7 linked regions of the Canis lupus familiaris genome follow. The protein of the gene in region 4 interacts with the protein of the main gene of each other region in a pairwise test. Links are inferred from orthologs where the notes say so. Each region holds a gene or a part of one and is shown on either strand. Other genes may lie near its edges.

The links.
Region 1: the proteins of SETDB1 (region 4) and MRPL44 interact in a two-hybrid assay, tested with the Homo sapiens proteins (2 studies listed by BioGRID and IntAct). The link is inferred for Canis lupus familiaris from reciprocal best matches to the Homo sapiens genes SETDB1 and MRPL44.
Region 2: the proteins of SETDB1 (region 4) and UBE2I interact in a two-hybrid assay, tested with the Homo sapiens proteins (2 studies listed by BioGRID and IntAct). The link is inferred for Canis lupus familiaris from reciprocal best matches to the Homo sapiens genes SETDB1 and UBE2I.
Region 3: the proteins of SETDB1 (region 4) and CDK4 interact in a two-hybrid assay, tested with the Homo sapiens proteins (2 studies listed by BioGRID and IntAct). The link is inferred for Canis lupus familiaris from reciprocal best matches to the Homo sapiens genes SETDB1 and CDK4.
Region 5: the proteins of SETDB1 (region 4) and TSC22D1 interact in a two-hybrid assay, tested with the Homo sapiens proteins (2 studies listed by BioGRID and IntAct). The link is inferred for Canis lupus familiaris from reciprocal best matches to the Homo sapiens genes SETDB1 and TSC22D1.
Region 6: the proteins of SETDB1 (region 4) and TK1 interact in a two-hybrid assay, tested with the Homo sapiens proteins (2 studies listed by BioGRID and IntAct). The link is inferred for Canis lupus familiaris from reciprocal best matches to the Homo sapiens genes SETDB1 and TK1.
Region 7: the proteins of SETDB1 (region 4) and MBD1 interact in binary tests that used the Homo sapiens proteins (3 or more experiments, as listed by UniProt). The link is inferred for Canis lupus familiaris from reciprocal best matches to the Homo sapiens genes SETDB1 and MBD1.

The regions. Positions count from the first base shown.
Region 1 is NC_049258.1:29,561,591-29,565,805, reverse strand, and holds the start of MRPL44 (39S ribosomal protein L44, mitochondrial), read right to left. Parts: upstream 2,801-4,215; 5' UTR 2,697-2,800; coding exon 2,518-2,696; intron 283-2,517; coding exon 1-282. UniProt on the Homo sapiens protein: Component of the 39S subunit of mitochondrial ribosome. May have a function in the assembly/stability of nascent mitochondrial polypeptides exiting the ribosome.
Region 2 is NC_049227.1:39,915,905-39,919,404, reverse strand, and holds part of UBE2I (SUMO-conjugating enzyme UBC9), read left to right. Parts: intron 1-2,794; coding exon 2,795-2,904; intron 2,905-3,020; coding exon 3,021-3,100; intron 3,101-3,500. UniProt on the Homo sapiens protein: Accepts the ubiquitin-like proteins SUMO1, SUMO2, SUMO3, SUMO4 and SUMO1P1/SUMO5 from the UBLE1A-UBLE1B E1 complex and catalyzes their covalent attachment to other proteins with the help of an E3 ligase such as RANBP2, CBX4 and ZNF451.
Region 3 is NC_049231.1:2,166,960-2,171,046, forward strand, and holds the start of CDK4 (cyclin-dependent kinase 4), read right to left. Parts: upstream 2,801-4,087; 5' UTR 2,600-2,800; intron 2,128-2,599; 5' UTR 2,109-2,127; coding exon 1,891-2,108; intron 1,758-1,890; coding exon 1,622-1,757; intron 1,506-1,621; coding exon 1,338-1,505; intron 1,204-1,337; coding exon 1,094-1,203; intron 834-1,093; coding exon 783-833; intron 638-782; coding exon 502-637; intron 260-501; coding exon 167-259; 3' UTR 1-166.
Region 4 is NC_049238.1:60,715,112-60,718,611, forward strand, and holds part of SETDB1 (histone-lysine N-methyltransferase SETDB1), read left to right. Parts: coding exon 1-542; intron 543-979; coding exon 980-1,096; intron 1,097-3,500. UniProt on the Homo sapiens protein: Histone methyltransferase that specifically trimethylates 'Lys-9' of histone H3. H3 'Lys-9' trimethylation represents a specific tag for epigenetic transcriptional repression by recruiting HP1 (CBX1, CBX3 and/or CBX5) proteins to methylated histones.
Region 5 is NC_049243.1:6,343,633-6,347,929, reverse strand, and holds the start of TSC22D1 (TSC22 domain family protein 1), read right to left. Parts: upstream 2,801-4,297; 5' UTR 2,501-2,800; coding exon 1-2,500. UniProt on the Homo sapiens protein: Transcriptional repressor. Acts on the C-type natriuretic peptide (CNP) promoter. Acts to promote CASP3-mediated apoptosis.
Region 6 is NC_049230.1:3,864,674-3,868,809, reverse strand, and holds the start of TK1 (thymidine kinase, cytosolic), read right to left. Parts: upstream 2,801-4,136; 5' UTR 2,731-2,800; coding exon 2,665-2,730; intron 2,517-2,664; coding exon 2,485-2,516; intron 1,508-2,484; coding exon 1,397-1,507; intron 1-1,396. UniProt on the Homo sapiens protein: Cell-cycle-regulated enzyme of importance in nucleotide metabolism. Catalyzes the first enzymatic step in the salvage pathway converting thymidine into thymidine monophosphate.
Region 7 is NC_049228.1:78,689,940-78,694,073, forward strand, and holds the start of MBD1 (methyl-CpG-binding domain protein 1), read left to right. Parts: upstream 1-1,334; 5' UTR 1,335-1,509; intron 1,510-2,874; 5' UTR 2,875-2,890; coding exon 2,891-3,009; intron 3,010-4,134. UniProt on the Homo sapiens protein: Transcriptional repressor that binds CpG islands in promoters where the DNA is methylated at position 5 of cytosine within CpG dinucleotides. Binding is abolished by the presence of 7-mG that is produced by DNA damage by methylmethanesulfonate (MMS).

The sequences.
Region 1 (4,215 bases), on a different chromosome or scaffold from region 4:
TTAACGCCTTCAGTGGGTAAGTCTGGGTACGCATCCTCAAGAAACTGTGTGAGGCAAGTTTTCGAAAAAGATGTCCCTTGTTCAGAGAGTTCTTGATTATCTTTAAGATTCAGAAGGACAGCTTCTTTTTCTATCCCAAGGTTTTGGCGCTTGGCCTCCTCGCTTTTAATATAGCAGCTATTAACAAATGCAGTTTTGAGAAGATCTAAGGAAAAGGTTTCCTGTAACCGATGTCCAAATGCTTGTATTTCAGCATGGTAATCCCAGTTGGGCTTCTCTGAACTGAAAAGTAAAACAGAAGACAGTAAGAGATGGTAAAGAAAACAAGATGTTACAATGACGCAAAACCTTTGTGTTGCAATTTTATTGATTAGGGAAATTAAAACGACTGAGTTTCATTTTAACACCATGCTTTGATTTTCTGAAAGTTAGAATTCAAGTCAGATGATTCCTTGTGGTTCTTTGCTATATTACATGGATTCATTTTCCCCTTGGGCCAACTGCCACATTAAAGAAGTTCTTCAACATCAGAAACTAAGCCGTTAGTTACCCTACCTTTCAGATTCTTTATTTCTGCTATTACCATGGAATTACGCTTTATACCTAGGTATGAAATAGGAGTTATAATTTCACAGGTTCACACTATTAACCAAAGTATTCTATACTTATCTCTTAAGTATTAAAAAATATTTAAAAGATTTTACTTATTCACAAGAGACCCAGAGAGAGGGGCAGAGACACAGGCAGACAAGAAGCAGGCTCCCTGCAGAGCCCCAGGCAGGACTCAATCCCAGGACCCCAGGATCATGACCTGAGCTGAAAGCAGATGCTTAGCCACCCAGGTGCCCCTAAAAACACTCATTTAAATCAGTGTCTAGGGATCCCTGGGTGGCGCAGCGGTTTAGCGCCTGCCTTTGGCCCAGGGCGCGATCCTGGAGACCCGGGATCGAATCCCATGTTGGGCTCCTGGTGCATGGAGCCTGCTACTCTCTCTGCCTGTGTCTCTGCCTCTCTCTTTCTCTCTCTGTGACTATCACAAATAAATTTAAAAAAAGAAATTAAAAAAAAAAAAAATGAGTGTCTAGGGCAGCCCCGGTGGCACAGCGGTTTAGTGCCGCCTGCAACCTGGGCATGACCCTGGCGTCCCAGGATTGAGTCCCACGTTGGGCTCCCTGCATGGAGCCTGCTTCTCCCTCTGCCTGCGTCTCTGCCTCTCTCTCTCTCTGTCTCTATGAATGAATAAATAAAATCTTAAAAAAATAAATAACAAAAAACAAAGAAAGTCTAAGAAACTGTCACAACTAAGAGTAGCCTAAGGAGACATGAAAACTAAATATAATGTGATATCCTGGATAAGATCCCAAAATAGGAAAAGGACAATGGGTGAAAACTAAATAAATCTGAATAAAGTATGGAGTTTAGTTAATAATAATGAAACTGGGATCCCTGGGTGGCGCAGCGGTTTGGCGCCTGCCTTTGGCCCAGGGCGCGATCCTGGAGACCCGGGATCGAATCCCACGTCGGGCTCCCGGTGCATGGAGCCTGCTTCTCCCTCTGCCTGTGTCTCTGCCTCTCTGTCTCTCTCTCTCTCTCTCTGTGACTATCATAAATAAATAAAAATCTAAAAAAAAATAATAAATAAATAAATAAATAAATAAATAAATGTCTAAATAATCTAGAAGCATTGCAAGTACGTTAAAAGTTCATAATCATTCCCCAATAATGCCTAAAAGGTTTTTTTTTTTTTTTTTCTTAAAGAAACAATAAAATCCAAATAAAACGTTTAGGTAAAAATGGATAGTTAAATACGAAGATCTTGGTTGTGAGCCATAAAAGGCACGTGGCCTGTATAAACCCTCAGTTTTTTTGCAACGATAAAGGCCTTAAAACGACTCACCCCACGATAATCCAAGAAATGTGAATAGAGACATACTGTTTGGTGCCTATTGGGAAAAAATGACCTCACGTTGCTTTGAAAGAGCACAGGAACACGGACAGGCATATATATTCCTTACTGATAAATGCACACTTTGGGTCAACTTTTGCGGCGGGGGGTGGGGGGGAGGCGAATACCAAAGTAGATCAAAATTTCAGCCTGGATTCCCCAGGGGGCGCTGACTTCGGCGCCGGCCACTGTTCACCGGCCGCAACAGCAGGGGCAGGGGTGCGGGGCCCACACCCGCAGCGAGCGCGGCATCCGAGGCAGAGGGGCAGGACCCCGAGGTCGGAGGTCGGAGGTCGGAGGTCGCCGGCAGGGGCCTTCCTCTCGGCGCCCGGGGGCTCCTGGGTAAGCGCCCGCCCCGCGGCCCGGGGCGCGACCCGGTCCCGGGAGCGGGGAGCCTGCTGCTCCCTCTCACGAGGACAGAAATAGACTCTTTAAAAAAAAAATAAAAATAAAAATAAAAAAGGATGTTTTTCTTTCTCTGCCGGAGTCCTGGAACAGGATTAAGACGAAACACGCTTAATTACGCCCCTTCCCCCCGCCCCCGCCCCGCCCCCCTCCCCGGCGGCTCCTACCGGCGCGCGGGCGGCGGCGGGCTCCGGAGCAGGCGCCACCGCTCTAACTCCTTCTGGAAGCGGAAGGCGGCGCGGAAGCCCTTCTTCACGCCCCGGACCGGCGGGACGAGCGTGCGGGCGGCCGGGGCCAGGAGGCAGCGAGGCCCCCGTACCAGCAGCCTCCCCAGGCCGGAGGCCATCGCGGCGCTCCGTTAAAAATAAAAGGAAGTTTTTAAAAAGGGCAATGGAGGGCGGAAGGGAAGCAGCCGGAGCGGTGTCGCGGGAACACACGTCCCCCTCCCCCCCGGAACTGGGCGGGGCCAGCGCGAAGGGCGGGGCGGGGCCAGCGCGAAGGGGCGGGGCGGCCGTTGGGCCTGACTGCGCAGGTGCGAGCTCTGGCCCCGCCCACCGAGGCTCCGCCCCGGGGTGAGCCCTGCGGGGTCGCTGGGCGCGCAGTGCGGGGGTGTTGCGTGCACCTTTCCTTCCTCGTTAGCACAGAAACCCGTTTCACTCTCGATTTAAGGAAAACAAAGTCTCAAAATAAAATAAAATAAAAAAGAAAGAAAACACTGTTTGTCAACATATAGTTTCAAGTGCCGCAGACGCTGCAGGAGCAGGTACCCAGCGGGTCTCCAGGAGCCACAGACCGAAGGGTGCTGAGTTAACCAAGGTGCAAACTCCTGACAGCACAAACTTTTTAAAGCACGCAAAAAGAAAGGACTGGGAAAAAAATACACCAAAATGAGAACAGTGGAATAAGCCTTTTTTCCCCCCTTTGTCTTGCACTCTTGATGGAGACTTTCTTACCAAACTGCTAATGTGAATGTTTCCATCTGATACTCACAAAGGAAGGCCAGCCCAGAGCTGCACGACCACAGGACCACCTGGGCTCCAGGCGGCACTTGGCTGCGGCCCCTGTGCTTGGAGGCATCGCTGCCCCCACTCACCCAGGTTGGGCTCCTGGCTAGAATCTCTAATGTTAGGGCCACTTGGGTGGCTCAGGGCATGATCCCAGGGTCCTAGGATGGAGCCCAGTATCTGGCTCCTTGCTCAGCAGGAAGTCTCCTTCTCCTGCTGCTGCCCCTGCTTGTACTCTCTTGCTCTCTCTGTCAAATAAATAAAATCTTAAAAGAGAAAAGAAAAAAAAAATCGCTAATGTGAGGCTCTAGCAAAGATTCTCCCCTTGATCAAACTTGAGTCAGGCTCCCAATTCAGTCCAGAAAGGATTCCCCTACCCTCAGTATCTGATTACCCTTAATATCCAATCAAATTCATCACCAACCACCATCCCCAGGTATTAGGTGATCATTCTGGCTTGCCTTCTGAAAAATCCTGTCAAGTTGGTTTAGCTGGAATCCTGACCCCCACCCCCCCACCTTACCTTTGATGTTTCCACTTAGTTCAAGGTTCATTGACAACTCCCAGCCCCCATGGCTATAAATTTCCCCTGGTCCATGCTGTATTTGTAATTGAGCTCAGTTGTATACAGAGGTCTCTTTCCCCTTATTGCAATAGTTCCTGAATAAAATATATTTTTTTTATTTTTAAAAGATTTTGTGTATCTATTTTTGAAAGAGAGAGCAGCATGGCAGGATGGGGGGGGGCATAGGGGGTGCTGCAGAGGGAGAAGTAGACTCCCTACTCTCCACTGAGCAGGGAGCCTGAAGCAAGACTCCATCCCCTGACCCTGGGATCATGACCTGAGCCCAAGGCAGACAC
Region 2 (3,500 bases), on a different chromosome or scaffold from region 4:
CGTGTGTGTGTGTGTGTGTGTGTGTGTGTGTGTGTGTGTAGATGCGTCCGGCATGGTCCATGGCCGGACAAGGCCATGTGTAAATGTTTACACTGGGGTTACTAATTCAGAAGGTAGGCGTACATTTTCCATTATAAGGGTATTTACCAGAAGAATTTTAAAAATTAATGATTAGCTGGGTAACCACGGTGATAGGCGCTTTCATTTCGGGTGGTTCTTTGCTGTTTGAGTAGTTTTTGCCACTTGGCAGGTGTTACTTTAAATAATTGCTTTAATTAAGAAATGAGACAAGTTAGAGTTGCTTTTCTCACTTTTGTGCCACATGATGCTGGAATTCCAAGCAAATGCAATAAGGAAGAAGAAAATCCCCACAGAAGAGCAGGAAAGGGACAGTGTGCAGACGTGCTTTATGACACCCGTCTGTGAAGGTTGTGGGCCAAAGGATGAACATGTGAGAACCTGTTTTCATAAAGTAGCAACAAATGAAACTGTTGAAACCAGACTGTTTACAGTAGCATTAAATACTGTGGAATAAATGCAACCAGAGGCTCAGGGCCTCCAGACTGCAAACTCCAGAGCCCCACTGAGAGGAGCCAAGGATGGCGCCAGTGACCCACCACCTGGCCCCCGTGACAGGCCGGAACCGAGGCTGTGAAGATGTCCGTCCTCTCCAAGCCAGTCTACGGAGCGTCTGGGGACCCAGTGAGAATGCAGGCACGTTTCTGTGGAACTTGCCTTGCACACCCTAACGTGTAGGAGTGCAGAGTGCCCAGAGGCCCTTGGGGTGCCCAGGGTGCTTGGGAGGCCAGGGCGGAGGCTCGTTAGTAGAGGGCACCCAGCCCCATTAGCATGACAGGCAGGATGGGAGCCGGGCAGCCTGGGCGCAGGGACATGGTGATTGAGACATGGGCCTGCAGAGCAGAGTCCACACACGCCATGTGTACAGGGGCTCAGTTCTTGACCAAAGTAACAAGAGGCGGGAGGGTGGGCCAGTGAGGGGCCTGGGTCCACGGGGTATCCTAGCAGAAGACGGGAATTCCCCTTCCTCCCCAGACAGCCTTCCAGATGGACCTTGATGCCCAACAGGCAGAGCTGTGCAGTTCTTAGAGGAAGACCCGGGCGGGCGGCCTCTCCATCGCTTGGGTAGACCCAACCCGTGAAGGAGACAAGGGCGCCCCTGCAGGTGGAAAGCCGGTCAGTGGGCCTTGCCTCCACCAGAAGACCCCAGTGGGAGTGAGGAGGGGAGAAGTGTGTAGGTTCATCGGCACTTTCCTCAACACACAAAGGGCATCTGCGAATCAGAAAAGGCAGTGGCCATCGCATCAGCAGGCCCTGCCCAAGAGGCCCTCCACCCCTCAGGCCCACTCGCAGAGCAGAGGCTGCCCGCCTTGCTCCCCACATGCTGCAAGCCACAGCCAGCCGGGGGGCCTCTAGACACTGTGCCTCTTGAATATTTCCTCTGGAAAGCCACCTGCCGTGTCCACAGAGGCTGAACTTGGGGCGGCCCCGTATGCAGCAAGCAGGGCTGGAGGCAGCCGAGCGCCCGTGAACACGCCAGGGGCTGGACCATGGGAGACGGTCCCAGCAGCCAGAGGGCTGACATGCGCAACATGGCCAGTCTCCCAGATAGAGCGGTCAGGGCCGGGTTCCTTGTGGAAGTCGGCAGCGGCCCCTGTGACAGGAAGGGACTCCGAGCAGAGCAAGCCAGCAGGACCCGAAGTCGGGATCAAGGCTTTGGGGGAGGCCGCTGCGCCTTCCTAGATGAGAAGGAAGGCCGACCACTCATTTAATGAAGGACTTGTCCTCACCCAGAAGTGCGATTAGAGACACGGAAAGGGTGCACAGAGTGGGAGAAGGTCCCTTCGAGACGTGCAGCTGACGGCCTGTGTCCAGAACGTGCGTGGTGCTCCTGTGAGCCCAGAGACGGCCTGGGACAAAGACGGACGAGAGACTCGCACAGGAATTTCGAGTAGACCGTGCGTCGCAGTGAACAGGGATGCTTCCCCTGGAGTCGCCGGGTGGCTCTGCTCCGGGACCGCCGGCACCGGGCAGCTCCTCCTCGGGTCTGACGTGCGCACACCAGCAACTCTCAGGGACCTGTCACGGTGCTGTCTGTGGTCACTCGTGTCCCTCCGGCGTGGCGGTCGGTGGGCTGGGGGGCCCCGGCGAGCTGGGGGTGGGTGGCCGCCACCTGCCGCAGCACGCGTGACCGTGAGAGCTAGCTCTGCCCACACGACCAGAGCCCTCGATGGGTGCAGCGCGTACTGGGGGGGTGTTAACAGATGTGTCTGTCACTGGGGATTCGTCAGGCTTCTCTTGAGCCGTTGGACCTTTCTGGGGGTAATTGGCATTTACAGTAAAGGGGGGGTGCCCTGAAACGTCAGCTGCAGGTAACAGTCCCAGGGGGGCTCGAGGCAATTTTCTTGCTCTTTTATGTTTCATAATTTCTTACATGTGTTCTTTTTTTATTTTTTATTTTTTTACTTTCATGCTTTAAAAGAAAAAATGTGGAGTGGGGTGCTTGGGGTCCTACAGGCCTCTCTGAAGCAGAATGATCTGCTCTGAAAATGGCCACTTGTTTGGGGGCCTCAGGGTTCCTGCCCTCAGTTGTACCCCAGGACTGTCCTCACCAGCCGCGGCCCCTCTCCACCTCCTGTATCTGTCCTGGCTTGGGGAGGGGTGTGGAGCAGTGGGGGCGGCCAGGGGTGGGGCCCTCCGGGGCAGGGGAGCGGCCATCATCCTGCCGGACAGCAGCTGCCACCAGAAACGCATTTGCTTCCTCCCTGTGGTCCAGGTAAATTTGAGCCACCGCTGTTTCACCCGAACGTGTACCCTTCGGGCACAGTGTGCCTGTCCATCCTCGAGGAGGACAAGGACTGGAGGCCAGCCATCACGATTAAGCAGGTAGGGCGCCAGGGTGCGCGGGGCCAGACGACTGTGGTCTCGCTGCAAAGCCGAGGCCGACGTCCTGGGACAGTTTGCCTTTCAAACCCCTGAGCTCCATGTTTTGTCTCACACAGATCTTGTTAGGAATACAGGAACTTCTAAATGAACCAAATATCCAGGACCCAGCTCAAGCAGAGGCCTACACGATTTACTGGTTAGTAGTGGTCTGGCCCCCTCGCTGTGGCCGCTCTGGTTTGCACACACTTCCTGGGAGTCCCGTCTGGGTTGCCCATGAGAAGGATAGCGGCAGGCAGGCTGTGAGTTGGGCAGCAGTCCCTGTCGCCCCTGGCAGCCTGCGAGGGTGGCTCTGAGACACGGGCTGTGACCGGGACACTGAGTGAGGTGGTCAAGGAAGCATCTGAGGGCAGGACGCAAACAAGCAGGCCCTGGGGAGGCAGCAGGAGCTGCATGTGCAAAGGGCCTGTGGTGGGCAGGAACGGGTGACCAGGGCTGGTATGGCCACAGTGCTGTTGGGTAGGGGGTGCTCAGGAGGTGGCAGTCAGGTGATGTGGGCTCCTGTTGGCCACTTTGTCCCTGATGAGCTATGGCCAGGG
Region 3 (4,087 bases), on a different chromosome or scaffold from region 4:
ATTAAGGCAGCAAAATATTCTCTGTAAAAAGTGGGAGTTGTTTCCACAGCCTCAGAGATGAAGGTCAAGACTGCCTTCTTAGTTTGGGGAGCTCTCCACTCAAGTGTTCAAAGGAAGAGAAAAGACAGCTTCTCTCCTCTTGCTACCGTTGCAGCCATTCCACTGCTCACTCTGGGTTACCTTCTGCCTTTTGTAGATAAGAGTGCTGCAGGGCTCGGAAGGCAGAGATTCGCTTGTGTGGGTTAAAAGTCAGCATCTCCTGAGAAGGGGAGGCAAAGATCAAAAGGTCATGAAGACAAAACAAAAAAAAAAAGAAAAAGACTTCCGCTCACCCCCAACAATACCTAGGATGGGCTATTTTCTACATCCCTCTTTATGGATGGCCTATTCACTGGCGCCAGTAAAAACTAGCCCATCCACCAACCAAGTCTTAGTAACCGCAATGCTAGTGCTCGGTCTTCCACCCCATCCTCAGCCTGTGCCCGTGCCCACGCCCAGTACCAGCAGCAGCTGTGCTCCAGACTCCTCCATCTCAGGTACCACTGTCTGTACTGGACGGGGCCCTCTAGGGGAAAAGGCTCCTCGGGGCAGAGACACATCTCGGGGCCAGTCATCCTCTGGGGGCAGCCCGATCAGACTATGGGGAACAGGAGAGCTCTGGTCAAGAGGGTCTTTCTCTAGCCCACATCTCCAGGGGCAGAGCCAACTGCCATGTGGGGCTCAGCAGAAAAAAGATTTGGAATGGAAAGTTTTTTTTTTCTCCCCTCATGCTGGTCACTTACTCAAAGATTTTGCCTAACTGGTCAGCTTCAGAGTTTCCACAGAAGAGAGGCCTAAGGTGGAAAAAACACAGAAGTCATGTCCAAAGATACAGTAGTGGAATAATTACTGGTAGGTAATGGCTCAAAACAGAGAGTGTGGGGGAATACAGGGATGTGAAGTTCCTAACTTTGGGACATTTCAGAGTTTCTGGTTAGGGACAGAACAGTCAACAATACTTAAGTGAAAGATTGGGCAGGAAATGGATGTGATCTATGACTAAGAGATTTGGTTTGGGAAACTCAAAATAGTTCAGGATGCTTGGGTCCCATACTTGCGACGAAACATCTCTGCGAAGATACAGCCGACACTCCACATGTCCACGGGTGTTGCATACGTAGACTGCAGAAGAACTTCTGGAGCACGATACCAGAGTGTAACAACCTAATAGGAACAAGAAAAGTGGATGAAGACCCCATGGGTTACCATGAACCATAACTGGTTGACTAAAGTCACAAAGTGCCCGACTTCTCAACTGCTACGGTCAACCCCTCTCCTACTCCCCTCTTGCTACTGACCACAGGCGTAAGTGCCATCTGGTAGCTGTAGATTCTGGCCAGGCCAAAGTCAGCCAGCTTGACTGTCCCACCACTGGTCACCAGAATGTTCTCGGGCTTCAGGTCTCGGTGAACGATGCAGTTGGCATGAAGGAAATCTAGGCCTCTTAGAAACTGGCGCATCAGATCCTGGTTTAGAAGGGGGAAGAACAGAGGACCTGGAACTAGGCACCATACCTGAAATCACAGCAGGTTCTGCCACAAAGGTCTCAATCTACTCCTCAGTGTCCACCCACCCTACTCACCTTGATGGTCTCCACTGGCAAGCCCGGTGGGGGTGCCTTGTCCAGGTACGTTCTCAGGTCTTGGTCCACGTGCTCAAACACCAGGGTCACTTTGGTCTCCCGGTCGGTTCGGGCAGTGGCGCAGACGTCCATTAGCCTGGCCAGAACAAGTGGTCACTCACTGATCAATCCCTCTGGACCCGATGCGGCCTTCCCCATTTCCCCAGAATCCCCACCTACAAGTTGTCTTTTCCCCTTTACTACCCACTCCCCACCCCCCACCTTCTCACCGGACAACGTTGGGATGCTCAAAAGCCTCCAGCCGCCTCAGCAATGCCACTTCACGAACTGTGCTGATGGGAAGGCCCCCTCCGGCACCTCCTCCATTAGGGACTCTAACGCTCTTGAGGGCCACGAAGTGGCCGCTGTGCGGATCACGGGCCTTGTACACCGTTCCATAGGCACCAACCCCAATCTCAGCCACTGGCTCGTACCGAGGAGTAGCCATTCTCGGATCAGAGAAGACCCTACAATCACAAAAGCCTCCTGCCACCGAAAATCCCTCAAGAGTTCAGGTGGTATGAGCCTGCCGCAACGAGGTGACTCCCCCACAAGGCATCACAAAGACCCCCCCTCCACCACCCCGTCCCTCTCCCCAGTTCCGTGAGGCTGGCTCCTCAGCTGACACAATGGCTCTAACCCCAACCCCGCCAGGGGGGGTTATTTAACCCACGCCTTAAATATAAACGTGAATCCCTCAAAGAAAGAATTCCTCTTCCTCGGGGACGGGCCGTCGCGCCCCGCACGGGGCAGACCGCACACGACACACCCCCTGCATCGAAGACTCGACATCCGTCCCTACCATTACATCCCAGCTGACCACAAAGGAACTTTGCGCGGGCCGCACTTCCCGCCCTCGAGCGACCCTCCCGTAACCTGCCCGCGTAGGCAGACGCGAGGGCGACAGCGGTCCCGTCCCCGGGAAGGCGCCACGCTCACCTCACTCGGCGCCGGGTGCTGCGGGGGCGGCCCGTTATCGGGGCCCCGGAGCCAGAGCCTGCGGCGCCATACACAGGAGCTCTGTCCGGGGCAGCTGGACGCTCCGGGCCCGACCATAGACAGGCCGCAAGCTAGAGCGGCCCCCGCACCCCCACCCTCACCATGTGACCAGCTGCCAAAGAGGCGCGCGGAAACTGGCGGGGCGGGGCGAAAGCCGGACGTTCGGGCCACGTGACGAGCCGCGCGTGCGCAGAGGGGCGGCCAGAGCGGCCTCGGCCGGGAAGCGGGCGGGGAGGGGAGAGGGCAGGCGGGGCGACGGCGGCCACGTGATCTGTTGCTATCACACGTGACCGCCCGACTCCGCTCGGAGGAGCAGAGGTGTGGCTACGCGGCGGGGCACGTGACCGACTGCCAGACCCGGCGGGGGTGCGGGGAGACGGGGGAGGGTGGAGTCCAGGGCGGTGCCATGGCAACCCGGGCCACCCGGCTCCAGGGCCGAGCTGCAGGCCGCGCCTGAGCGCTTCTGGCGCTCGCTCCTCGCTCCGCGCCTCCCTCTGTGCGCGGCGGTCAGGGAGCTGGAGACGAGGCGGGGGCGGGACGGGCGCTGGAGCCTTTCGGCCTCACTGCCGCGGGGAGACCTGGTCTCGTTTGTGTCTTTGTTTCATTCATTGGCTCATTCAACAAATTTTTACCGAGTGCTCGCTTCCTGTGTGCATGCGGGTTTTTTTTTTCCGGTGTCTCAGTCGCTGGCCCTTTAAAGGAGTGATGGGGCTGTCTGGAAAGACGTAGCCCCCGGTGGGGACAATACCCATCTCAGGGCACAGCCAGCACTAACGGACTGACGGAAGGCACACTAATGCAGTGACCCAACCGGAGGAGTGTCAAGGTGATGCCCTCCCATCTTTCCAACTTCCACCTCTTCCAGGGAGCGTTAAAATAAGACGGTGCTTTCTGGCGGAGAAATTACCAATGAGCAAGAGACAGAAACACTTAACCTGCAAGGTTCTTTGCAACAGGGAGAGGCAATGATATGCGCGTTTGTGTATGTGTGGGTATTTTACACATTGTGTACAGATGGACAGATACAGGAGTGAGCGTGTGCAGGGAGGTTACCTCCACCACCACCTTGGACCTCAGCACTGCGTGAGAATGATTTGTGCTCTTCCACAAACCCTGTGACTCCTTGTTTGGGGTCGTTCTGCTTCCCTCTTTCCCCCGGTGCGAGCTTTCTTAGTCCTTGCTCCCGCCCAGAACTTGGACTTTCCCAAATTGCTTCTGCTCACAGACACTTAGGTCGACAATAGACAGGTTCCTCTGACTTTCCTTATTTCCTAGCCCTTTAGGGGAATGAGAGTAAGGAGGGAAGAGATCAGTATCTCGTTCGGGACAACCTGTCTAAAATCATTTCATGACTCTATTTGCCACTCCTTCCACCTTAACTTCTATTCTCCTTAACCATCTAGTGGAGGATGTAAGAGCTCAGGCTCG
Region 4 (3,500 bases):
GCCCCAGCAGAGCCCTCCTACCGTGCCCCCATGGAGAAGCTCTTCTACTTACCTCATGTGTGCAGCTACACATGTCTGTCTCGAGTCAGGCCTATGAGAAGTGCACAGTACCGGGGCAAGAATCCCCTGTTGGTCCCACTACTCTATGACTTCCGGCGAATGACGGCCCGCCGCCGAGTTAACCGCAAGATGGGCTTTCATGTTATCTATAAGACACCCTGTGGCCTCTGCCTTCGGACAATGCAGGAGATCGAACGCTATCTTTTTGAGACTGGCTGTGACTTCCTCTTCCTGGAGATGTTCTGTTTGGATCCATATGTTCTTGTGGACCGAAAGTTTCAACCCTATAAACCATTTTACTATATTTTGGACATCACCTATGGGAAGGAAGATGTTCCCCTATCCTGTGTTAATGAAATTGACACAACCCCCCCACCCCAGGTGGCCTACAGTAAGGAACGAATCCCTGGCAAGGGTGTTTTCATTAACACAGGCCCAGAATTTCTGGTTGGTTGTGACTGCAAGGATGGGTGCCGAGACAAGTGAGTTGGTAGGGTAGTTGCTGGCCCTGCCTCCAACTTTGTTATCCTTGCCTTTACTTTCTACCACTTCTTTTGCCTTAGATCTCCATTAATTTCCTATTTACATCATTCCTCAGCTGGAGCTCCTGCCAGAAGACCTCCATGAAAGCTATGAGCGAGGCTTGGGTCTGATGTGGCCCCCACTGCATGACTCTGGGGACTTGTGCCCTGTGTTTGTTTCTCGGATTCTCCTTTTCCTTTGTGTCCCTCCATCATGCTTATAGTTGCCACTTCATTTCATTCTGTCACTCTGTCACGTTCTTACCGTCTTTTCCTTTCTCGTTTACATGTATGACAGAAGAGAAATTTCACTGTCTTCTCCCTTATCCTTCTGTAGTACTTCTTGCCTCTAAATGTCTCACAGCTCTAGCCATCATATCCTTTTTTTTTTTATTCAGGTCCAAATGTGCCTGTCATCAGCTAACTATCCAGGCCACAGCCTGCACCCCAGGTGGCCAGATCAACCCTAACTCTGGATACCAGTACAAGAGACTAGAAGAGTGTCTACCCACAGGGTAAGTAGGGGAAGGCAAAGCACCTCAGAGATGGAGTTCTAAAAATTGGAACCAGGGATCCCTGGGTGGCGCAGCGGTTTGGCGCCTGCCTTTGGCCCAGGGCGTGATCCTGGAGACTCGGGATCGAATCCCACATCGGGCTCCCGGTGCATGGAGCCTGCTTCTCCCTCTGCCTGTGTCTCTGCCTCTCTCTCTTTCTCTCTGTGTGACTATCATAAATAAATAAAAATTAAAAAAAAATTTAAAAAAAAAAATAAAAAAAATAAATAAATAAAAATTGGAACCAAAAATAGAGTAACTGAAACCAGGTAAACCAGGTATTTTATCAATTAAATCTTACACACTGAATTTCTTTTTTTTTAATATTCATTTATTCATGAGAGAGAGAGAGAGAGGCAGAGACACAGGCAGAGGCAGCAGGTTCCATGCTGGGAGCCCGACGTGGGACTCGATCCCAGGGCTCCAGGATTGCGCCCTGGGCCAAAGGCAGGCGCTAAACCGCTGAGCCACCCAGGGATCACCCCCCCCCCTTTTTTTTTAATATTTATTTATTCATGATAGAGGCAGAGACACAGGCAGAGAGACATACTGAATTTCTTTTTTTTTTTTTTTTTTTTTATTTTTATTTATGATAGAGAGAGAGAGGCAGAGAGGCAGAGACACAGGCAGAGGGAGAAGCAGGCTCCATGCACCAGGAGCCCGACGTGGGATTTGATCCCGGGTCTCCAGGATCGCGCCCTGGGCCAAAGGCAGGCGCCAAACCGAGGCGCCACCCAGGGATCCCGACATACTGAATTTCTAGTACATGTTTCTTCCTTGGGCTTTCCTTTAAATGAAGACTTCTAATGATTGAATAGGACCTAGCAATTGCAATTGTGTCATAGTTATATGTATATTCTAACAGACTGTGGTTATGCTGGCAAGGGAGACGTGTTCATAGAAAAGTATGCAGGGACCTGGTTATATAGGACTTTGTAAATGATAATAAAAATTAGAACCAAATTGTGGTATGATAGAAAGCTGTTAGAGAATTTTAAGCAGGCAAATTATGCCAGCTGCCTTTTGAAGGTTACCATGGCTTCTTGGTGGAGACTGGGTCTTAGAGCAGCAAAGGTAAAACTGAGAAGTCCACTTAGAATAATTATGGGAATATAGGCGAGAGGTTGTGCTTGCTGGGGCTTATACTAGAATGCTCACGGAGAGTGGAGCTGAAAGAGGGTAGAGTTGGGATTTGTTTGGCGGTAGAGCTACAGAACTTGATAGATGGACTGGCATGGGAGAGAAGCAGCGGAATCAAGTTCAAGTTCTCTAAACTTTATACTTCAGCAACAAAGTGGGCATTGGTACATTTTACTGAGATGGAAGACTAGAGAAGAAGCATGTCTGGGTGGAATTCAGCTTCTGTTCGGGCCATGTTACTTACGTTTGAGGTGCCTCCTAGGCACTCCAAGGAGAAATGTCAAGAAGGCAATGAGATTTCTGGAGAGAAGTATAAGAGCTGGACATAAGAAATTAGGAATTCTGAACACAGAAGTGGTATTTAAAGCCTGGATGAGTTCACCTAGAGAGAATATTGATAATAGAAAAAATTAAGGGGGCACAGGAGTAAGTACTGGGCTCTCCAACTAGAGACTGAACAGAGGAGGTGAAGCCAGCATATAAATTTGAGAAAGGCAGGTCAGGAAAAGAGGAAGACAATGCAAGAGTTGGATATAAAACTTGGTAAAATGGTTATATATGAACATAGTAACTAACAAACCTGGTGCTCAAGATACATAATTAGAAGAGAGGAGAAAAACATGAATGAATACTTCAGAAATTTTCCCATAATCGAAGAGTCTGTTTGCCTTTTTTTCTTTTTTTAGAGATTTTATTTATTTACTCCTGAGAAACACAGAGAGAGAGAGAGAGAGAGAGAGAGAGAGGCAGAGACACAGGCAGAGGGAGAAGCAGGCTCCATGCAGGGAGCCCCATGTGGGATTTGATCCTGGGTCTCCAGGATCATGACCTAGACCAAAGGCAAACGCCCAACTGCTGAGCCACCGAGGCGTGCCTGAAGAGTCTGTTTTCAAATAGAAAATGATAGTCATGTCCTGCATAATGGGTGAAAATATATTATCCCCACTAAAATATTAAAAAATAAAATGTAATCATGTCCACAGAACACTGAAGACACAAAATTAAAAACCCTAAAAGCTTCTAAAGAAGAGAAATAGACCACAAAAATACTCAGATACCTTCTGCCTTTGCAAAATGACTTTGGAAGCTAGATGGAAATTAAAGACTCAGTTCAGAATTCTAAGGGAAATTATTTCTAACTTGGCATTCTAAACCCCAGACTATGAATTTTAAGTGTTAAAATAAACTAAAGACATTTTTTAGACATGAAATACCTCAAAATTGT
Region 5 (4,297 bases), on a different chromosome or scaffold from region 4:
GATTTGTAACAGAAATACTACTAGCAGAGGGCAAAGGACTAACTGCAGGCAACTGCTGCGAAACTTGAGCTACTGATTCTACTCCTTGCGGCTGGGGAGGCACAGTTAACAAGGTACTTTGGGGTGCAAGGACCAATTGTTGAGGAAGGCTCGAAGCACTAGTTTGAACTCCCTGATGAATAATCGCGGTTTGAGCAGGTGAAACTATCTGTGAAGACGGAGGAGCACCTTGCTGAATAACTGAAGGTGTGACTTGGGTAGAGGGCTGCTGCACCGCAGTAGCTATGTTTGCCTGTTGACCAATATTTGCGATTTGACCGCCAGTAGGTACCACAGATCCTGCCGTCTGAGCCTGGCCAACAGGCTGGCCAGAGGCCCCTGCAGGTTGTGCTTGGATTGCGGTGGGCTGCACTGGCAGCTGGATGCTCTGTGGCTGGGCCGTAGGAATCACGGTCGATCCTGCTCCCACGCTCGCAGCACTGGGCTGTCCCGAGGACACCGCTGTTTGGAGCATCGGCGGCGGCGGCTGCTGCTGCACATACTCTGAAGTAGGATTCTGAGTCACCGGTTTACCATGGCCTGGGACCATCTGTGCAGATACAGTCGGTTGCTGTTGTCCATACTGTAACTGTTGGGGTGGTGCCCCTGGAAGGGGAGCTTGCACTGGAGGAGCCGGCTGAGAATATGGCAGTTGGGGTTGAGCCAAACTGGAAATGGAAGGCTGCTGACCTAAAGCTGAAGTTACACCAACCACATTCACAGGTGATGGCTGGATACCCGTCGCGGTACTGAGAGTGGCTTGCAGAGGGACAGGCTGAAGACCTGGCTTTTGATAGCTCAGTTCTTGCGACTGCAACTGTACTTGTGTGATCTGTGACTGAGAAATACTCTGTGGTATACTGACTGCTGAAATACTCTGAGGACCAGAGCTACTGAAATCCATCTGTTGAAGAGCCATACCTTGAAGAGTTGGCTGCTGCTGCTGCTGCTGCTGCACCACCACAGTAGGGGCTCCCATCTCTCCACTTCCCACACTCTCTGTGTAGTGACTCAGTGTGCTGACACTACTGCTCACTGAACTCCCACTAGTGCTCTCCCTCTCAGAAGTCACTTCTGGGTTTTGTTTTACAGTTTCCACCACTTTATTCATCGCCACACCTTCTGCAGCAGGTGCGGCGTTTTCTTTCTCATAGAACTCGGTGCAAGTCCATCTACCTTTCTTAAAAGGTTCAGAACTAGAATCTAACTTCACAACTCTGAACCTCGACGTGTTAACTGTCGGTGGCTGCTGCTGACTGGAAACTGATCCCACAGTCATCCCTGCAGCTGCATTAGGGGCGCTGTTAACAACAGCGGAGGAAGAAATAGAACCATTGCCCATGCCACTCAAGATATTCACATTCACACCGCTGCTAACTCCAGGCCCGACACTCGCACTAGCAGCACTAGGGATATTGCTCGCATTTATACTGGCATTACTAAGCATGCTGCTTGTCACGCTAGGATTAAAAGTACCCACAGCAGTGATGTTAACATTATTCACCGTAGTAGCGCCAGTAACAGAACTTATACCTATACTGCCGGTAGTACTTGGAGCTCGGATATTAGTCATTACGGATGCAGGTGAGCCTCCCGATGATACAGCAGAAGTCGGTGCAGCTGGTGCAACGCTGTCGGCGCTTCCAGGGGCAGAGAGTTTTCTGGATCCCGGGCTGGAGGGTGGCCCTCCGGGAATGGGTGGACTGGCCACGCCGGCATGGGATGGATGGTGGTGCCCGTGGTGGAGGTGGTGCCCGTGATGAATGTGATGGTGGTGATGGAGGTGGTGAGGATGAGCGTTCCCATTGATCACAACGTTCTGGGGGGGAAGGTGGGGCAGATGAGGCTGCGGGAGGTGGGGCTGGTTGGGAGACACTGCCCCAGGTGTCTCGGCTTCCTGGAAGTTATTCAGAGTCTCTTCTGAGGAGCTGCGCTCAGGCTCCCCCAAGTCGGTCGCCCTGGAAAGTGACACATCGAGGATCTCGGAGGAAGACAGATCCTCCGTGTGGGACTCGTCCAGGTCGTCGTAGCTCTCCGTGTCCTCGGCGATGCTGTTGTTGGAGCTGATGCTGGCGGAGATCTGAGCCGGGGTGACGCTGGTTATCTGGAAGCCACTTTTCTTTTTCATCTGAGTCCCGCCCGGCGCGAGGGGCTGTGCCTGCAGCTGAGCCTGCGAGAGGAGGTTCAGGCTTTGTGGAGGCGGAGGCTGCGGCCCCGACGTGGAGGATGCGGCGGGGGGAGGCGGCTGGAGCAGCGACGGAGGCGGAAAATCCTCGGAAGATGTGACACTACTACCGACGCCGGTACCTGCCGCGCTGAGCGCAGAGGCGCCGCCGCCGCCGCCGCCGCCGCCGCCGCCGCTGCCCCTTCGAGGGAACATCGCCGGGTGCGCCATCTTCCTAGCGCTAATGTCTGCAGCGGCCGCGGCCGCCGCGGCGGTGGACTCGGGCGGCTGGTGCATTGTGTCGGGGGCCGGGGGGGCGGAGGAGGCGAGTGCAATTTCCTTCTTCTGCACCGTAATCTTTGTATTCGAGACGCCGGGGAAGAAAACGGGACCTGACGCTCCGCCCGGCGCGGGTCCGGGTCCTCCTCCTCCTCCTCCTCCTCCTCCTCCTCAGCAGAAGGCGCCGGCCGCTCCTGCCTTCGAGGGCGAGCTTCGGGAAGGGAGGATGAACGAGGGTGAACGGGGCGGCCCGAGAGGTGGGGGAGCGGGGGGGACCCCTTCAGTCCTCCGCCATTCACTTTCCCCTCTAGTCTCACACCCCCCTCTCTAGTCCGCCTTCACGTGGGGTGCGGGGCAGGAGGGAGGGGGCAGGGGAGGGTGGGGGTGGGGTGGGGTGGGGTGGGGTGGGGGGGAGACGAGGGGGAGGAGGAGGTGGGGAAGCCGAGAAATGCCCACCTTCTCCGGCCGACTCGGGGGCACCGCAGCCCCTGCGGCGGCGGCCGCTGCAAGAGCCTCCCGGGCGCCGTGCACCGGCCGAGGCGGCGCGGAGCGGGGGCCGCCGTCCCCTCGCCGCCCCCGAGCCCCGAGCCCCGAGCTCAGGGTCGCTCAAGCCTGTCCCCTCCCGGCCCCGCCGGCCCCGCTCGGCCCTCCCCGCCCGCGCCCCGCGGACCCTTTCAAACCCCCTGGGCTCGCGGCGGCTGTTCCGTGAGCAGACGCTGGCCGCGGCCGGGGCCGGGGCGGCGAGGCTCGGAGCGGGGCGGCGGGGCGCCCGGTACGGTGAGCCCAGCAACGGGGCGCGGGCGGGCGCGCAGGGACGCCGGGTCCTCGCGGAGCACGGCCGGGGCGCGGCGGCGGCGGCGGCGGGAGCGCAGGGACCGCTCCATCACTGGCAGCCATGGAGCCCGAGCATTTTCCTCCCTCGGGGCAGGCGCCTCGGCTCGGCACGCGTCCTCGGGGAGGAAGGGGCCGGCGCCCGGGCCTCCCCGGGGGGCGGCGGCGGGCTGCGAGCCGCTCGGCTCCTCGTCCTCGTCCCCGTCCTCGTCCTCGTCCTCGCGGGCGGCTCCTTCCTCGGCGGCGCTGGGGGCCAGACGGGCTGGTGCAAGCGACTGCAGCCGACGCCGTTCAAAGGAACGGGAGGTGGGGTTGGCCGGTGTCGGCGAGTGGGTGGGTGCGGAGGGCGGGCGGGCGGGGAGGGGGCCGTGGTGGTTGTTACTAGTGCTCTCCTCCGGCTCCGCCGCGTCCCCCAGTCTCTCGCGGCAGCGGGAGAGGAGGGACCAGCGCCCGAGCGCAGGAGGAGGAGGAGGACGAGGAGGAGGAGGGGCGACCGCCGGCGAGAGGAGGAGGAGGCGGCGGCGGCGGCAGGGGGGAGGGGGAGGGGGCAGGCGAAGGAGACGGAGGAAGATGGCGTCTGCGCATGCGCCCCGGCGCCGCAGACAGAAAGCCGGGTCCGGCGGAGGAGGCGGCGGCGGGGCCTCGGGCCTCGCCGAGCGCCGGAAATTGCCGAAGGCTGGCGGAGGCGCCGAGGCCGCGGAGAGAGGGGAGGGGAGGGGAAGGGAGGGGAGGGGCGCTTCGGGCGGGGGAGCGGATCCGGGTCGGGCTGCGCGGCTCGGCCCGAGTGGGGGCGGGGCGCGGGGCGCGCGCGCGCAGGTTAGGTGTGTCCGCTCTGTTCTCGCTCGCGGCCGGTGCGCGTGCGCGGGCGCGGGAGCGGGCGCGGGCGGGCGCGCGGCAGGGGAGGGGGAGGGGGCGGGGCGGGGCCCGGGAGTGCGCGCCCCGGGGAGGGGGTGGGTGTCCGCCCCCCCCCCCGCCCTTGCCCGC
Region 6 (4,136 bases), on a different chromosome or scaffold from region 4:
GATGCCAAGACCCTGGGATCACGATCTGAGCCAAAAGCAGACGTTTAACCAACTGAGCCATCCAGGTACCCCTGGGGGCTGGTACTTTCCAAAGGCTCAGCAGCCTGTAGCTGTATTTAGAAAAAATAAAATACAACCACTGCTCAGTTATTATCTTGCTATAAGTCTACTCCAAGATCTGGCAAGAGCAGGAGATGGTATTTCCTGCATTTTAAATTCCCCTTTCCCACCCCAAGCCAGAGAAAACCAGAGGGTGGGCAAGGGCAGCATCTCTGGAGCCCTGTCACTCCCGCCAAGGGCTGAGTCACAGCCATGGCCCGTCTCAGCTTCTGTGGCCCAAGTGAGAGGGCATGTGTGCGGCTCCGGCCAAGTTCAGACATGCCCCTGATCTGACTTATCACTGCGTAATGCGGCCTCCTCTGCTCGCACTGCCCTCCCTGGATGTGCCCCTGGCCAGTGCAGCAGAAGCAGACACATGTTTTAGGGAAGAAGTAACTGCAAGACCTAAATGACCTGCATAGGGCAGCACGGCAGAAAGCACCAGTCACTCACATCCTGATGCTTTAACTCCAATTCCTAGACACTATCCACCCACCACCCGCCCGGCTTCAGAAACCCCACATTCCCACCCCAAAGCCACACACGGGGCAGTCCTGAGGCTGCAAGCCCTCCCTGTGGCACAGCGTGGCTCTGCCGCTGGCGGCTCGGGCGGACAAGTCCAAAAGAGGTAACATCTCAGGCTCAGAAATCTGCAGCCAAGGAACAGGCAAGAGTAAAACTAAACTCAACCTCTCATTCCCGACCTCAGGTTGCAGACTGAAACGTGTGCAGGGCACAGGCAGATAAACACAAAACTGGGAAGCATGAAGGCCACAAGACAACAGAGTCAACCAAGATAAAACAACTGAAAAGCTAAATGAAAAGCAACATGCACGCTAAACAAAACCAGTTTGCAACAGCACAGATGTAAGCTCGGCACTATTGACCATCGGGGCAGGGTCAGTATTTGTTGTGGGGGCCGTCCTGTGCACTGGGAATTCAGGAGCATCCCTGGCCTCTCCCCACTGGATGCCCATAGCATGCCCTCCCCTACTCCAGCTGTGAAGACTACAGATGTCTCCAGACATTGCCAAATGGACTCTGAGGGAGCGAGAGGGGGAACAAAATCTCCCTTTGTGAAGAACACCGGGCCAGAACTCTGTGAGAGGCCAAGTCCTAAGATCCCTTGCCAAGCGACCTTGAGAGTTTGCTGAGTTGCACGTTTCCATGCCGCCCACCGGCATGGCTAACCAGTCCTGCTGAAGAGCGCTCTGACAGTATGGCCTATGCCCTTGCGCATTTTCACCAGGTTTCCGGAAGAAGTGCTGGGACAGGACAGGAGAGAACAGGGACTGACCGGTCATGCGTGGAGAAGCTGTTGCTGTACCGCGTGTCTTTGGCATACTTGATCACCAAGCACTTGTACTGGGCAATCTGGAAGCGACGGACCCTTCTCATCAGCTCGGTACTGCAAGAGCAGAGCACTAGGTGAGACCCAGGATGTTAAGGAAGTCCCCATTAGCACAAGTGGGGCTCCCCCCCCACCCCTGCTGGGGGTCTACAGCCTGAGACCCACCAATGGACAGAAAAACCAGAGAGGACAGAGGGTGGTGATGGCAAGGAACAGAGGTCAGGTGGTCTGGGGAGGGGGTGGGAGAATAAATGTCTCAGGGATCTGATGGGGTGAGTAGAGTCAAAGGCCTCCGACAGAGAAGAGGGGTCTGGATTGCATCCCCAAAGAGTCCCATCCCAGAGGTCTTCACATGGTCTGCATTGACTTCGCAGTCTTTTGTTGTTGTTGTTCAAGAAAAAAAAGCAGTTACCTCTGGGTCCCAGAGCCCACCCTGGCCTGACTGTGGTGGGCACCAGGTTTGCCCTGCAGTGACCCCCCCCAGGGCAGAGGGCGTCACTCAGGGGGCCGACTAGCCCTGCCTGGGTCAGGCCACCGTCCTGTCACATCAGGGGAGCAAAGGCATCCTGGCCTGACTCCTTAGTGTGTAAACTACTTAAGGAAACAAACACTAGGAAGGGAAGGAGGAGTGTGGATGCTGCAGGGTGCACAGGACCCAGCTCACCGAGGACACCATTTTAGAAGAATTAAAATTTTAAATTGAAAAAAAAAAAACCAAAACGAAACGAAAAGACTTGGCTGCTCCTTTCCAAGAGAGATTTAGTGGGAGGGTGGGGGGAGGGAGGACTACACCCTCAGCAGCCATAACCTGCTGCAGGGGGGCGACGTGGTGCCATGACCCCATGGAAGGGTCTGAACCCCGCGGGCAGGGAAGAGGCGCCCTCCTGCAGGACCGCATGGGGCGGGAACGCGTGCTCGGTCCGGGGGAGGGGTCGTCCTGCAGGGGGGCACTGAGAGGGGCAGCAGGGGAGGAGGACGGGCCCCCGGAAGGGAGGGGGGAGAAGGCCGTCCCCGCGAGGACATTACTTATTTACCTTTTTCCTGAGAACATGGGTCCTAGAATCACCTAGGAGAGAAGGAGAGGTCACTTCGGGGCCCGCTGCGCACGGACTGCAGGCCAGGGCCACAACCCCAACCCCAACCCCAACCCGCACCCGGGTCGCGACCCCGGCCCGCCACCCGCGCCCGCCGGGGTGCCACCCCCGCGCCGGCACCTGGATCTGCCCCCGGGTCTTGCTGGGGGAGCCGGGCAGCACGGTGGGCAGGTTGATGCAGCTCATGGCGCCTGCACGAAGCCCGCCGCTCGGGAGCCCTCGGGTGCCACCGCCCAGCAGCCTGACCCGGGTGCCCCCGCCGCCGGCCTTTATCCCGGGCGCGCTGGCCAATCGGGAGCCGGCGCGGGCGCCCCGCAGCCAATCAGCGCGCGGCCGCGGACTGGCGGGAGATTCGAGCGCGGCCCGCCCCTCGTGGGCGGCCCCGGGGACCCGGCGGGCTCGCGTCACCTGGACGGTCGGCCCCGCCCCGGCCGCCGCCTCTAAAGGGCCTCTAAAGGGCCGGGGCGCGCCCTCTGGCCGGCCGCGGCGGGATGGAGGGCCCGGCGCCCTGGAAGCGGCTGTCCAAGGAGGTAGGCGGGTTGCGCCGAGCGGGGCGCGCGGGGCCTAGAGGCCGTTCCCCTCGGGGAGGCGAGCTTAGAGACCCAGAGCCCAGCCCCCCAGGGCGCCGGCGGCCCCTGTGCGCCGCTCCCAAAGCCCTAGCGCCGGCATCTCCTTTGCTTCTGGCCACAGGCAGGCTTCGGGGCGCCTGGTCTTCAGGGTAGAGAAAACAGGCTGTGCTAATATCCATAAAGGAGGCACAGTCCCGACACTGAGGTCCCACAACGTGGATGGAGGATGTGCCGGGGTGAAGGATTCGGAAAGGCCGGCGTTCACCGCAGGACAGGCAAAGCACTTACTAGGGTTATCACTCAACTATGATTTCCTAACTAGTTTCCCTGCATTTCAGGCTGTATTTTGGGTTGGTTTGGGTTGGTTTATTTGTTTTCCGGTCACGGATACATGTGAGAATCTGATAAGTTATGCATTCTGCCCCCGCCCCCCCCCAAGAAAACCCCGTTCTCTCTGTGTCAGAAACCCATTGCATTATTGTTATTGTACATAACGACAGGGAAGATGACGGTAGCAGTGACAGCGTGTGCCGCTATGTGCCGCAGGCACAGATTGTACAGGATCTAAAGAACGCTGGTCAGGCACCTCGTTCAACGGGAGGGGGCCATAACCCACATTTGAATGGTTAGTTTTACTTCATTTACATGCTTTATGTCCTTCAACCTTGTGATGCTACTATTATGCCCATTATGTAGATGGGGCTGAGGCCCAGAGAGCATAAGTAAGCTGCCCAGGGTAAAACAGCCTGTAAGGGATAGAACATGGATGGCATTCAACCCATCTGACACCAGAGCCCAGGACCCTTCCATGAAGCCACCCCGTCTTAAAATTTCCCATTTTAGGCTTCACTCTTTCTCCTTGCCTTTGAGCTCTTTCTCCCAAACCTGGTTCCTTGCTACTCTCTGCATTAATTCTGTGTCTTAGCCTGACATCTGAGATCCTCTCCCCGTAGTCCCTCCTTCCACCTCACCTCTGTGTCTCGGTGGTCTGACTCACCAGCATTTCCAAACTGACCTTTGATT
Region 7 (4,134 bases), on a different chromosome or scaffold from region 4:
CCAGAAGTCCTCACGCCCTGCATTCCAGGCCCGGGAGCTGCCCCGAATTCCCCGTTTGTCTGTTCTGCCATTCATCTGTTTCTCCAATGGTCCCTGAGTTTCTCCCTGTGCCCATCCACCATTTGACTACCCAGATGCCGTTATCAGAGGGTCTCAGGATTTTCTTCTGTCCTTGTCTGTCCCTCTGTCTCTCCATTCTCTGTGCCTGGGTGGGACTGTGGAGTTTGCTCACTGTTGCCTCACCTCTCCCTGGTTTTGTTAATAAAATTTTGAAGAACCAACAGAGATTACTACTGGTTTCCACTTTATCCAGCTGCATCTGCACTCCCAAACCCCCTGGGTGAAAGGGCTGAGGCACACCTGTATTCAGGAGGAGTTGCAGTATAGAGCTTCGAGTATGCAGTTGGCAACCACCCTCTGCTCTGCAGGAGCTCCCTTGGGCAGCGGACTATGACTTACTAAGGGAGAGCCCAATGACGTACATCCTCAGCATTTCATCTTGAAACAACGGGTATACAGTTGGCGCTATTTCATTATGTGGCTGATTTCCCCCGTGACACCCCCGTGTCAGCATCGACATCCTCCAGATTAGACACGTATTCGCTGACGGCCACAAGGTCTCTCGTTGCCCCACAAACCCCTTTCCGGGCACGTGTGTAACAGAAGTCCGAGAGCCCCCTCCGCCCGGTCGCGGGGCCCAGCGGGGCCCACAGCGCAGCCTCTCTAGGGCGCGCACGCCCTTCTCGGTGGCACGGCCCTTCTGTTTACCTGCAGCGCGGCACCGCCCCCTTCGCCCGTTCTCGCGGAGGGAGGGAGCTGGGGTCGGCTTGCGGTGCGCTCCTCCCCGCGCGCTCCTGCAACTGCTCGCGGGGCGGAGAGGACGGGACACACGAGTTCTGGGGGAGATGTTTCAGGGGCCCGCACAGCACAGCGAGATGGGAGCGAGATGGGGGCGAGAGATGAGAGGAGACCTCCGGCGCCCCCCCTCCAACTACCCCGGGTGGAGACGGCCAAAGAGCGTAGCGCCCCCTCCTCCTCCACGCCCCCTTCGGTTGGGAGAGCGCAGGCGCAAGCCAAGTGGGCGGAGTGGGGAGAAAGTGCCGGTTGGCGGAGCGAGGCGCCGGGGGCTGAACGACTCCGGGTGGGGAGGGGAGAAGAGGGGGCGGTGCAGCTGAGGCCGGCTGTCAGGGCGCAGGCGCAGTAGGGCCCGGGCCAGAGGCGCGCGCCGCCGTGAGACTAAGCGCGCAGGCGTGGGGCCCTCCCCACTAAGGGCAAGCGCGGGAGGGGCATTAGCGCGCAGGCGTCGTCTGGGGGGCGGGGCCCTAGAGGCGGGCAGCGGGTTTCCGGTTCCGGGAGCAACGAACGGCCGCGGCAGCGACAGCTACCGCTTCAGAGGAAGCGTCTGCGGAGGAGGAAGAAGAGCAGGGCAAGGCGGGAGTCACAGGCGGGACCCTCGGCATGGGTCCACGGACCTAGAGCGGCGGAAGCTACCGGCCCGGTGCCAAGCTGGTGAGACAGTTGTGGGGGTGGAAGTGGAGAGCGCTCAGGCGTCGGGGAGGGAAGCATTGAGGCTCCGAACGCTGACGGAGAGGAATGAAGGGCCCTCAGGCCGATGAGTGGGAGGAATGGCGGCGTGGGAATACTGACGGGGAGGAACGGGGAGGTTTTGGCTGAGGACGAGGAGGAATGGGGCTCAGTGTGCCGGTAGGTGGACGTGTCGGGAGTCTGGACGAGGACGGAGAGGAGCGGAGAAGGATCCGAACGCCGAGGGGCGATCTCGGTGCCTTCGGGGTTAAGGAGTGAGAAGTGGGGGTTTAGAACGCTGAGAGGGAGACAGAGGGGCCCTCAGGTTGGTGACGGGAAAAAACAGGGGCACTCGGATGCCGAAGAGGAGCGACGGGGGCTCAGATGGAGGAGGAGAAGGAATAGGGCTTCTGAAGGCCGAGGTGGGGATGGCACGATCCTGGGACACGAACAGGGAGGATTGGGGGGTGGCTTCAGAGGGCTGGGGGGGGGGAATCAGGGTCTCTGAGAGTGTCAGCGGACGGGAGAGCAAGGGACACCGACGGGGAGGAGTGAAGAAACTGCTGAAGACGAGATGAATAAGGTCTGGGGATGGAGGTCGGTGAAGACTTGTGGCTCAAGACGCTTACAGGCAAAAGGAGGAGGCAGCGTTCAGGCTGAGGAACAGAAGGAATGAGAGGATAAAGAGGGGAGAAGCTGGGGCTCTCGGGCAGAGGACACAGGAACCTGAGGCAGTGGCATGACAAGAGGACATCAGAAAGGGAAGGAGGGAAGGAATGGGAGAGCTACAGGACTGAGAGGAGTTGGGCACTCCTGGGCCAACCAGGGGAGTGAATGCGAGGTTAGGGCACCGAGGGACAGTCCTGGGACCTTGGCTGAGGATGAGCGGGATGGGGCCTCTCGGACTGATAATGGGGAGTATGGATGGTTCAGGGTGAACCCTCAGGGGAGGTGTCAACACCAGTAGGTCAAAGACCATGTCTCTTGAGACGAATGACAGGTTCCTAGGTTGGCAGAGGGGAGAAGGGATGGGGTCTCAGGCTGAAGATGAGGAAGAGGTGGGGATCAGGACATGGAGTAAGGAATGAGGAGCTTTGGGTTGAGGATACGGCCTGTTAAGTTAAAAGTGGGGCTGCCAGGTCCGGAAGGGGAGGAACGACTAGCCTCTGGGCCCAGCACACGGAAGAATGAGGTGGGACGGGGGATTTTCTCTACTGTATTGACGGGTTGCCTGTGGTAGGGACCCGGCGTGGGATGGGCATTAGTAAATAGCAGCTGTTGGTGTGGCTAGAGCACAGCATGTTCTCTCCTAGAGCCTCAGTTTTCTCCACCGTGCCCTCCCTGTTGCAGGCCGCTGCTCCTTCCCATGGCCCCCATGGCTGAGGACTGGCTGGATTGCCCAGCCTTGGGCCCTGGCTGGAAGCGCCGTGAGGTCTTTCGAAAATCAGGTGCCACCTGTGGACGCTCAGACACCTATTACCAGAGGTACTGGGTGGGTTGTGGACGGTCATAGGTAGGGCTGAACCCGCTTAGGCAGGGTGAAATAGGGTGAAATTAGGTGTGGTTAATTTTGTGGGTGGGTTAAAATTACACATGTATAGTCAATTCTTATTTGTAGATTCCATGTTTGCAAATTTGCCTACTCACTAAAATTTGTGCCCTTAAAGCCCATATTTCCTGTACTTCACAGTCTTTCACAGACCTGCACAGAACAGCAAAAAATCTAAGTAGCCTAAAACACGCATTCGCAGCTGAGGTGCTGCAGTGCTGTCTAGTGTTCTTAGTGCAAGAAGTCTGTGATGGACTTTAAGGAGAAAAATGTGATGTGCTACGAGGAGAAAGTACACATTAAATAAATTTCAGGCATGAATTGTAGTACTATTAGGTGTGACTACAATGTTAATGAATCAAAGATGTGGTACATCTAGAAAAAGAAAGGGAAATTTTCTAATTTGTCCGATTTCCAGTTTCTGGAAAGTGCTAAAGTAACTTGTATAATACATAATGGAGCTAAGGAAAAGGTGGGCTAAACTTGAAGATCCATAAGGCAATGACCAGTAACAGTGTAGTGGACAGTGTGAGAGGCTTAAGGCCAATGACGTTGACGATTGTGTTACCCCTGGTTAGGAAAATGTTAAATTTATCTCAGCTAGTGCTGACTGGCTCACACATTTCAACAGGTGAGATTGTGAAAAAACTTTAAATTGGCTTACAAGGTAGGTTCTGGAGATTGAGAATTTGCAGACGAATTTTAAAAATAATAAGTGTTATATGGGAAAAGTGTCACATAGAAGAATAGGTTTTCAATAACTGATGAGACTGTACCTTATTTTACAAGTACCTTGGTAAAAGTACCTATATAACAGTACTCCAAAGCTGGCTTTAAATCATTCGAAGGCCATACATAAGACAAGGTTACACAGAATCAGTTGACAGAAAATCAGTTGAAAGAAATGTCACCTGAGGCTCTCAGGAATCTAAACTGTAGTTTCACTAGGAGCCAAGATTCTATATTCACTAATTCACGTGTGCAACGTGACTTTATAAAACATTTCATGAATGAGAACCGGCTATAAATATGTGAACATACGTATTTATAAGAGATTTATA